2 linked regions of the Drosophila melanogaster genome follow. Changing the gene in region 2 together with the main gene of any one other region gives a genetic interaction. Each region holds a gene or a part of one and is shown on either strand. Other genes may lie near its edges.

The links.
Region 1: of m (region 2) and f, changing one enhances a phenotype caused by changing the other (phenotypic enhancement), as found in Drosophila melanogaster (one study listed by BioGRID).

The regions. Positions count from the first base shown.
Region 1 is NC_004354.4:17,257,711-17,262,541, reverse strand, and holds the start of f (forked), read right to left. Parts: upstream 3,169-4,831; 5' UTR 3,068-3,168; coding exon 2,211-3,067; intron 1-2,210.
Region 2 is NC_004354.4:11,752,335-11,757,527, reverse strand, and holds the start of m (miniature), read right to left. Parts: upstream 3,256-5,193; 5' UTR 2,946-3,255; intron 1,880-2,945; 5' UTR 1,783-1,879; intron 1-1,782.

The sequences.
Region 1 (4,831 bases), 5.5 Mb from region 2:
TAAGGAACACAACCCTGCACAAAGACCTCAAACTAGCAACGGTATTTGACGAGATAAACCAGCACTCGAGCAGATACCATGACAGGCTGGAGCGCGACAGAAATCGGCTGGCCAGCGCTCTTAACAGATCTCGCCCACCAAGGAGGCTCAATAGAAGGCAACCGAGGGATCTCATTTCCCGATCTCCTTTGACAAGGGTCAGCAGAGAAAAAATATTGCATACTTTTCAGCTTGCTTTGTATCTCCAATTGCAGTCTACTTTTCTGCACCCCAAACAAATGACTTAAGACACAAACTTACACACTAAGCTAAGGACTTAAGACACGAACTTGCCAAGAAAGTGCAACACAATTTTAAAACTAAATATTTAATATATTATTGAAATTCATTTAACGCCTTCCTTTTTACTAATATCTAGGAACACTAAATAATATATAAGTTTACCTTTGTTGCGAAGCAAATTAGTTACAAATTTCCTTAAAATTCACTTTTATTTCATTTTTCTCTTTACTAATAGCTAATTGTTTTTTTTTTACTCTTGTTGCAAATCTAGTAGCATGTTCAATATAGCCCACGAAAATTGCTCATTGTTATTAAATTGTTTGCTTGACAGCCATTTAGGCACAACTTTTAATTAATTAATTGGCCGGGGGAAGTGATGGTTATTAATTTTGATGGCATCTTTGTGCGCATCTTGGGCTGCACTTGGATTCACTGAGTGCCCTTTTCCGAATCACTAAACCAGGTCAAGTCTGCTGCTGACTCACCTGATTGCCGTTTCCGCGGCACAAATAAACAATAACAATCATAATAATAATGCTAAGAGAAACAATACACACGGCGACACATTAATTGAAAGCTGAGAAGCAGCGCCGCCAGCATTAAAATGCGAAAATACCGGGCATTTGTGGATGGATCTCGTTTGTCTTTGCTCGTTTGTCGCTGCTTTCCTCTTGTGGCAACAAAAAGAAACAGAAAGCCGCGAAGACGACACTTTCTTCCAGTTTATTGCATCAACGCTGGCATCGCCGAACACACCAAATGGCAAATGGAAAATGGAAGCGGGCCGGTAGCAGGTGTCAACAAAACAGGGCAGGTGCCACCGAGCCCATGAAACCCACGAAAACCACAAAGCCAACATAGCCAACAAAGCTAACAATCCGACAAAACTCACAAACATTTAGCTGAGAAAGAAAAAAGTGAAATAAGCTATTTGGCAATAGCATTGCAGGCCAGTTGGTCAACTGAAGTGGCAAAGGGGGTTAAGAAAATTATGATCTTTAAGGGTGTTAAGAGGTGCCCTCTGTTTTTTGGCTTCATTTGATCGCTGGCTCGTGATATAACTCAAGTAAACAGAAAGTAAATACTTATTTTAAAGGTGAAACAACTAAATTTTACATTTCCAATTGGCTGTTCGCATTAGACTTATTGATTCGTGCAGCTATTTAAAAAATGTATTTGCTCAATACTCCTATATACAAAATATTTTTGGCTAAGATACTAATGAGCATGGCAAACGCATCCATGCGGTTAATACTGTAATTCAAAAAGCAAAATTATAAACCTTTCAAGGCAAGCTGCTTTAAGTGAGTATTAAACAATACAAATAGTTTAATAATCTACAGACTTTAGAGTTTGTTTCTATTAACCTTTCGTTCATAGCATCAAAACAAAAACATAAATAGTTAAGTAAATATGTATGGGAGAGGAAGGGGATGGTCAAAGTTCGGAAAAAGTGAAAGAACAGAGAACGGAAGAAAATAATCATTTAAGAAATTATACTCATGAAGATCTGTGGGTTTTTATGAAATGGGAAAGCCGGAGAGTTTGTGGGAAATTTGCAAGCTGCTTTCGATCCAAAAGTTCGCACATAATCCGATGGGTAAAAACTATAAATTATATACCCATCCCGGATTTTGTCGTGGCAACAGACTCATTAAATAATAATACGAGTTTCCAAAGATTTTTTAAAGGTTGCACTGATATCAAATATTTCGGGTAGCACTTAAAAAAATATAGCACTAAATATAGAACCATAGTCAATAAATTGATATTTCTTGCACTCCCATATTATTGTAGAATTTGCACTTGTTTGTAGTCTTTATCGACATATTACTGTAACTAATTGATTTTGGCGCTCGTCTATTTTTGCAGCTAATTTGTGTTCTGGTTTGCCGTTTTTGTTTATTTTTTCTAGCGATTTCTTTTACCTCAATTTGATGGCAATATCGCGGCACTTGACGCATGGCACCTGGCCGGATTCCTTGTCGGGCACTGCTGCACTGCCTCCTTTTTCCGCTGGAGCTATTGTGGCATATTGGGCCTCCTCCTTTTCCGGCTGCTCATCTGCCTTCTCATCCGCCTCCGTTTCGCTTGCGAAATCCACCACCAACTCTTCGTTGGATTCCCGGTTGGATGTAACCACTTGCCTCTTGCTAAAATAGCCCACATGTTGGTCCACTCCCGCATTGGCATCCAGCAGGATGCGCTCGTAGGCGGCGCTCTCGTTTTCCGAGAGGGCAAAGCGCTGCTCGAAAACCCGCACGGGCAGCGAACTTTTCCTTAGCACCTCCATCCGCTTGTGCCGCAGCTCGATGGAGAAGATCAAGCGGACGCGCACCAATCGCCGGAGACCCTGATGCGTTGACCTGGCGCGCTGTAACCTCCTGCGCTGCTGTCTCAGCTCCAATTTCTCCAGACCCTTCAGCGATTTGGGATCGACCAGACCGTGATTGTAATCCTCCACTGCTGTCAAATCCAAAGCGGATCGCGTGCGACGCCAGGGCACCAAGTCGAAGTGAGCACCCGCCCAGGGATGGAAGTTCACCTGGCTGACGTTGGTGCTGCGATCCTGCTTGAGGATCCAATCCGATTGCTGCTCCTTGGTCACACGAACGTGATCATTCCGTGCCGCTGCCTGCGGCTTGTGGCGTTTATATCGCGGCACCAGTGTCGCCTCCAACATCCGAGCATCCAGACCGTAATCGCGACGCAGCTGCTCCAGCTCCCTGCTGCTGGCCGTAAACTGAGCACCGTTCCACACGATCACCGGCGCACAACTGGCCATTGGATTCGTTTCGTGGCTTGTTCCTCTTCTGGTTTTGGTTCTATATACGTATTTGTACGTTCGTTCCCACCCCGAAAATTCGTTCCCCCAAATTCCCGAACTAGTTGACTTTATGTCACTGATTGCGTTCTGTTTCTGATTTTCTGAAAACCCGCTCGTTTTCCGGTTTCCGCTCGGCAATGTCGCGTTTGTCGCGTCCGCGCTCCGTGACGCCGGCGACGCAAATGTTCGCTGGCCAAAAAAGATACAACTTCAAAATCCGCAGTCGGATTCCTATGCAAAAACGTTGCGCCAGCTGCGCTGCCAGCCAAACGCCACTCATGATTAAGAGTTTTCTGTTGCTGCTCTTCTCTGTTATTGTTATTGTTATTGTTGATGTAAATGTTTTTGTTATTGTAATTGTGATTATGGGCTGTTTTGTTGGAGCTGCTGGTGTTGTTGGTGCCGCTTTGTTTGCCGATATGCCACTGCTGCCGCAGCTACACGCAGCTACAAATATTGCAAATGCCCATTTAATATCTACTTAAATTTTTTTTTATTAATTTTAACACACTTAACTATAATGAATACTCTTAATAATAGTAATAATTGTAATTTTGCAAATAAAAAAAAATTAAATACAATATTTACAATCTAAATGACCATATTTTTCAAAACAAAATGAAAACAAATTTACTTTTAAAAAACATTTTACCTTTTTAAATAGGAACTTGAGTGACTTCTGCGTCATTTAATACCTATTTCTTTAGTTATTTATTTCAAGTGTGACAGGATCGACAACTTGTAAAACTGTTCAATTATTCACTAACGGTCTACTTCTAAAACTTAGATTTATTGTATGACTTTACTGCTTTTTATTTGCAAGTTTATTTTCGTATTTAAACATTTTAATTTTTATCTTACTTTTCACTCATTTTAAATCACTTTCTAGCAGGTTCGGACTGAAGCTATTAAAGGTGATTTACATCCACTTTGCCCGGACTCAGGCTAGCATTTTCTCTCTGTGCACGTTCAACGTTTGCTCAATATTGAAGAGTCGCGGGCTTAGCTGCCCCTCTGATTGTATTATTTATTTATTTTTCACGCTCACTGCCATGTCAACTCTGCTCTGGGGCAACCCTCTGACGGCGTCGACGTCGACGTCGCTTCACTCGGCTGAGCACGCGTCAGCAACAACAGAAACAACAACACTGGCATGCATAGTAATATTAACTAAAGCCCATAGTTGTTGGTATTATCACCGCTGTTGCTGGCCATTCTGCAATTCGAGTTCACAATTCTATTCTCGGCTAATTGACGGCATCGGGCCATTGGCATTGTATTGGCCAAATTAACCAACAATTGCGACAGTGAAATAGGCCCTTTTATAGTCCACATATATAGTACAAATATAGGTTCATAAAACAATACTTGAAACGAATTAATCATATCTCTTAACTATAATTTCACGTTGATCTATTGGAAAATATTTTTATTATTTATCTGTTCATGAATTGTTGAAGATGTTATAATATATTTTATCCTATAACTATAAAAAGAATTATTTAAAATTACGTTTGTAAATATTTTAAATATGTAAATATTTTTTGTAAAACATATTTGTTATAGTACATAATAGTCTTTATAATTATTTCAGCTACTTAAGGCCAATTTCATCATCGTTTTCCATTTGCCTTGATCGAAGTTTAGCTAATTTCTATAGAAAATATGCAATTAAGTTGCAAAATATCCGCCTAGTGTTTATAGTTCTCATTGCCTTCTAAA
Region 2 (5,193 bases):
CAAAATCCTTCAAAAAGTGTTAGGGATACTTAGTATTGGTAATAAGCTGTAAAAAACAGTCATTGGTTTATCTTTATGACCATTTTTAGGCAAGTTACGATGCAAATTCCTATCGTAAGTAGTGCACTTTGGCCAAAACCTGTTTTCATTCGAACTGTTATTCGGAATTCTATTTTTTTACGAATTTTTAAAAATTTCCATGCCATTGTACGACTATACGCCCTGTTTTGACCAAGTTGAGGGAAAACTTGTAAGAAAACTCTACGGATTGTATTAGTTGAATATTTACTTTTGACCGCATTGTTCTTTTTGTAAGCTCAACTCAACAACATTCCTAAGTGTTTGAGATATCTTAGCTTGATGAGCCCCATTGGGTCGATCAGCACTCTCACTTTTCTAACCGTTTCGTTGGGCCAAAGATGCACTAAAGGCCGAAATGTGCCACGAAAAGTTTCCATTTCATTATGGAATGTTTGTAGAAAGGCAAAGAACAGTTAGACGACGAGACGCCGGCATCTCAAGCTCAATAGACCCCCCTCCCCACCACACACACACACACACTATATTTTCCAGTGTCCGAAGTATCTTTGATGTTGGCTGAATACAAATTAACATTCTGTGAAAGAAAAGACTTGTCGACGAGGTTTTATCTTGTATCCGCATCTGCATATTGTACACGTCTTCGTATCTCTGTATCTGTATCTACTGTATTCATGTATCTGCTGCTTCTACGATGTATCTGCAAATGTGGATATGGTATATGGATGTGAAAGAGCACTGGGAATAGAATTTACTGGGTCGATCGCGGCAGCAGCTCATAAATTATGCGTCATCGATGAGTGGAGTCGAGGGGCACGGGAACAATGAATGAAGAAACCAAGGAACAGAATCAGACCTTGAATCGAAAAGTGTTAGGCGGTAAGGTAAAGCCGCTTAGGGTCCCACCAATAATGGTTAAAGCCAATCATTTGAGGCCAAACAAAGAGATAGTCCAGCGTGGAGATAGCTGCCGTTGTCCGATATACTGATTCCCAATAGCGATTCCGAATGCGAATGCGAATTGCGACAACGAGACTTGCAACTTGCTGGTTGCAACCTGGCAACTTGCATTTATGGCCAAGTCGCGTGTTTGTTTGCTGCTGCCAATCTGGCCTCCTGGAATTGAGTTTATTGTGCCACAGCGGCGTGCTTTGGATTGTCGCATCAGCTTAATTAGAATTCGAAGTAGTTAACGGTGCATTTAATGCGCTCCAAAACGGATCAAATGCATTTGCACCGCTACCACTCACTTCTCCATCTACTTGGCCCCGTATCTGTGCAAAGATCTGTTCTATTTATCTGCTCTTCGCAGACTAATGAACCAAGTGCCAAGTGACGAAAGTTGTCATAACATTTCATTTGCTGCCTGTCGCATTGCCACACGGTTTAATGGTGGCAATGTGGCCAGTAAAAGATGTCAAAACAGTATGCTAATAAACGTGCTTTTGGCACTCTTATCCTCGCATTATCTGTCTGGCTTGTATCGAACATCGTCGTCTGGCTTGTTTAATTAATAAGCACATACTTTACATCCTTTGATTTAAGTTTGCTGGGGAATCTGATATTAAAAGCTTTATGGCCAGATAAAGACCACCAATAGTTGACTGCCTTATAAGATACAACGTGACCACAATTTCTTTTAAGAATCCTTACAGAGCAAGCTTACTCAACTATATTCTATTCTATATCTTACCCACTAAGTTTAGTAGTTTCAATAAAATATAGATAATGTGTGTAACTCACCGATAAGTTGTAATCTTTCCGAAGGTCAAGACACAGCTGAGTGTGTTACAGCTGCTCTGGACTCCTTATATTTCCGTTCTTTTGTGAAATCCCGGCTCTGCGTTTGGCAAATGCATTAAAATGTGAGTGAGGCACAAACAACAACAAAAAAAATAGCTAAATGGTGTAGCATAAAAATGTACAAAGCTGAGGAGGACAGAAGTGAAATCGGAACAGAACGGACCAAACCGAACCGGACCGCCTAACACGTAACGCAAATAAAGAAGAATCATCATCGTCATCAGAGACTTTTCAGTCCGAGTGAAGTCCGTGCTCATGGCGACTGATTGATGATTAGTTGCCATTTGACAGGTGTATGCGAGTTGTGCGGGGTGGCCGGGGACAGGGTGTGTGGGGGGGGGGGGGGTTAGAGAATTGGGGGCTTTGGAGTTCGGTCAATAAATAGTGCACCTGCTGGGCGTGTGGGAATACGATCCGCCAGATGACGTTGCTCTTTTTTATGGAACTCTAGCGTCTCGCGTCTCGTCTTCTTGGTACGTGTGATTGTTATGACTAACTATTATTATGTATGATTGTTATATTTTCCACACGGGAAAAACTTTGGAAAGTGCCAGCCGCCAAGGCGCAGTGCATGCAATACCTTTGATTTTGATTTCGATTCTGGCCAGGCTGAGAAGACACCACTCTGCTGGCAAGAGGTGCAGCAGAAGAATCAGTGGCAAAAGACGTGGACGCAGGGGCGCACAAGAAGCGGAGGCAACAAGCCAGCCGCATTTGTGCTAATTGGGAAAATTAGAAAGCATGAAATGCTCGGCTGCATTTGCTGTCTAGCTGGTTAATCGGCTCCACTGTCGGTCCAAGAAGACGAGGCAGAAGATGCTGGAAAGACTAAGATTGGATGTTTCACAGAACTCAAGCAATGCAATTGGCTCTGCGGAGAGAGGAATACGAATAAGATGCAGGAATGACAGATCCTGGATAAAGTCTTCACAGGAAGCAAAAGAAATAGACTTAAGATGTTGGAAAGCCGTGGACTGGCTTCTCCAAAGAATAGAATAAGTTTCTGGTTGCAAATCGTGGATATTTCACACAACTCTAAATTCAAATTGGCAATATGACAAAAACAAAAAAATTATTTGCTTTTGGATGGAAGAAACACTCACTTCGCGGGAACGTTTCTTCTCAACTCTCTTCTCGTTCTTTCTCGGTATCTTGCTAAGCTTAAGCAAGTAACGGTAACAGGCAGTGGCAACAACAAGAACAATAAAAAAAAATTGCACTAACACTTGTAAGCACTTCGGGTGGTGTTACTTATTTGATTTTCTATTTTATTTGAAATTTATTTATTTTATCAACATTTGTTGTAGGCGCGACTGGGCAGCACACTGGGCATCGGATCACGGATCACGATCACCGATCACGACCGTTAGCAGCAGCAGCACGTGTGGACTCGGCGAGCGACGAACGCGAAATACGCGAGCCAGCCAGGCGATACTTTCTTTGGCCTCGTAATGTAACTGTCGGGAACAGCAGCCGCAGCAGCAGCCGAAGAAAGAGGCAACAGCAGCAGCAGCACAAGAAGAAGAAGAAGCAGCAGCACAAGCACAGAAGAGTGAGCAAAAGAGAAAGGGGGAGAGAGGCAGCGCAAGAAGCTGGCAAAGCTAGACACGCACACACACACACACACACACACAAGCACACTGAGAGAGTAGCTCTGCCTGCGCCGACTGCGACTGCGCAACGAGCTTTTTACACCTGCGTTGGCAGCTGCGCAAATGAGCACAGCTCAGCCAGAACTTGTTGTTGTTATTGTTGCGATTGTTGTTGTTGTTGTTGGTGGCGCTAATCAAGCGGCCTAATGACATAGAATAGCCTGCCAATTAGACGACCAATAAAAAGAAACTTACATCTAGCACTTCAATAAAAATACATTCGAACGCCCACTCAATCAGCAGAAGATCGCGAGATTTTGAAAACTCCTCCTGCAGGAAAATGGCAACGCAGTGGAAAGCTGGCAGCGCAGCCGACGTTGACGTCGGGAATTTGGCGCACTTGAACTTGAACTTTCGGCGCGCTCGTTTCGTAGAGAAGCTTTCGACTTAATGGATACCCCTAAGTGTTCCCCATACATTAAATGATTGCATTATGAAACACGTAATAGGATTATAAGAAAATCTCGATGAATTTGAAGCTTATATTTATTTAAAATAATTTAATTATGAAACGTAAAAAACTCTTCAAAAGTAATAATTAAAATGTAAACACCTTGATACCATTCATGAAAAGTATAACGATTAATAACAACTTCATACCTTATCCGAAAAATACTGCACGCATGCAGGGCGAAATATTGTAGCCAGCTTTTCAGGTGGGCAAGGTGCATAAGTTAGCGTTTTGGGTCTGGGAACCGATCTGCCGGCTCATAACGGTTAAACAGTTTTCGCCCGTCGTTGACAACTAATCAAGATGGGAACAGAAGTTGATCAGAGCTGATTTGAGCAATAAACAAAAAAAAAACAAAATCCGTTTCCTCTTGCGATCTTAAGCTCTATCTCTCTTTAGCACACATCGGAATTGGCAAGCTTACACATACATTTGCACGCCAAGAATCTGCAACGGTTTCCATGCTGGCTCTTCTTTTCCTCGTTCTTCTTCTTCCTCTTGGTCTTCTACTTGGCAGCTGCTTTTCTCCATATTTGTTGTTAGTGTTTGAGAGGCTGCTCCTCGCTCCACACTCGCTCTCTCGTTCTCCCTGTCTCTCTCCGTCTCTTTCCCACGTGCTGGGTCTATCTCTCTTTGTAGACTGGGCGCATTTAAACGGTAAACATCATGAATGCATTTGGAAAGTGGTTGTGTTGTGGTTCGTGGTGTTTGCATTTTGCATTTCTTCGCATTCTTTTCTGTTTATGTGGCTGTTGCTGTGTGTTGCATCGCACAATTGTGCCAACAACAAGGCGGAGAAATGTGAAGAGCCAGAAGAATCAGAAGAGCCAGCGGCAGAAGCAGAACAACAGCAACGGTAATACCCACCGAAGACGGCGTTTTCATTTCTGAGAATTGATTGGCCGTCGGGCCTACATACTCCACACGCCACTGCGACTGCCTCTTCCAGAGTCTCGGCTGCCACATCGGGTTTTTTATTTAGTACCCTCTTCTTTTGAACACCTGGGAGCATGATGTCTTTAGCGGAAGAAAGTGGAAGAATCCCTGGGCTTCAGAAGAATGTGAGCTAACAAACCTCCTTAAATTTAAGTTTCCTTAAGCGAACTAGTTTATCCGACTTTCTTACCATTTTATATTCGTACTTTTGCGAGTTTTCCTTGAAATTAATTTATAAAAAGATATTTTACAATACTTCCACTTGAATTCTTCATTAATAAACCAAATTCGTTTAAAACAACATATTCTAAA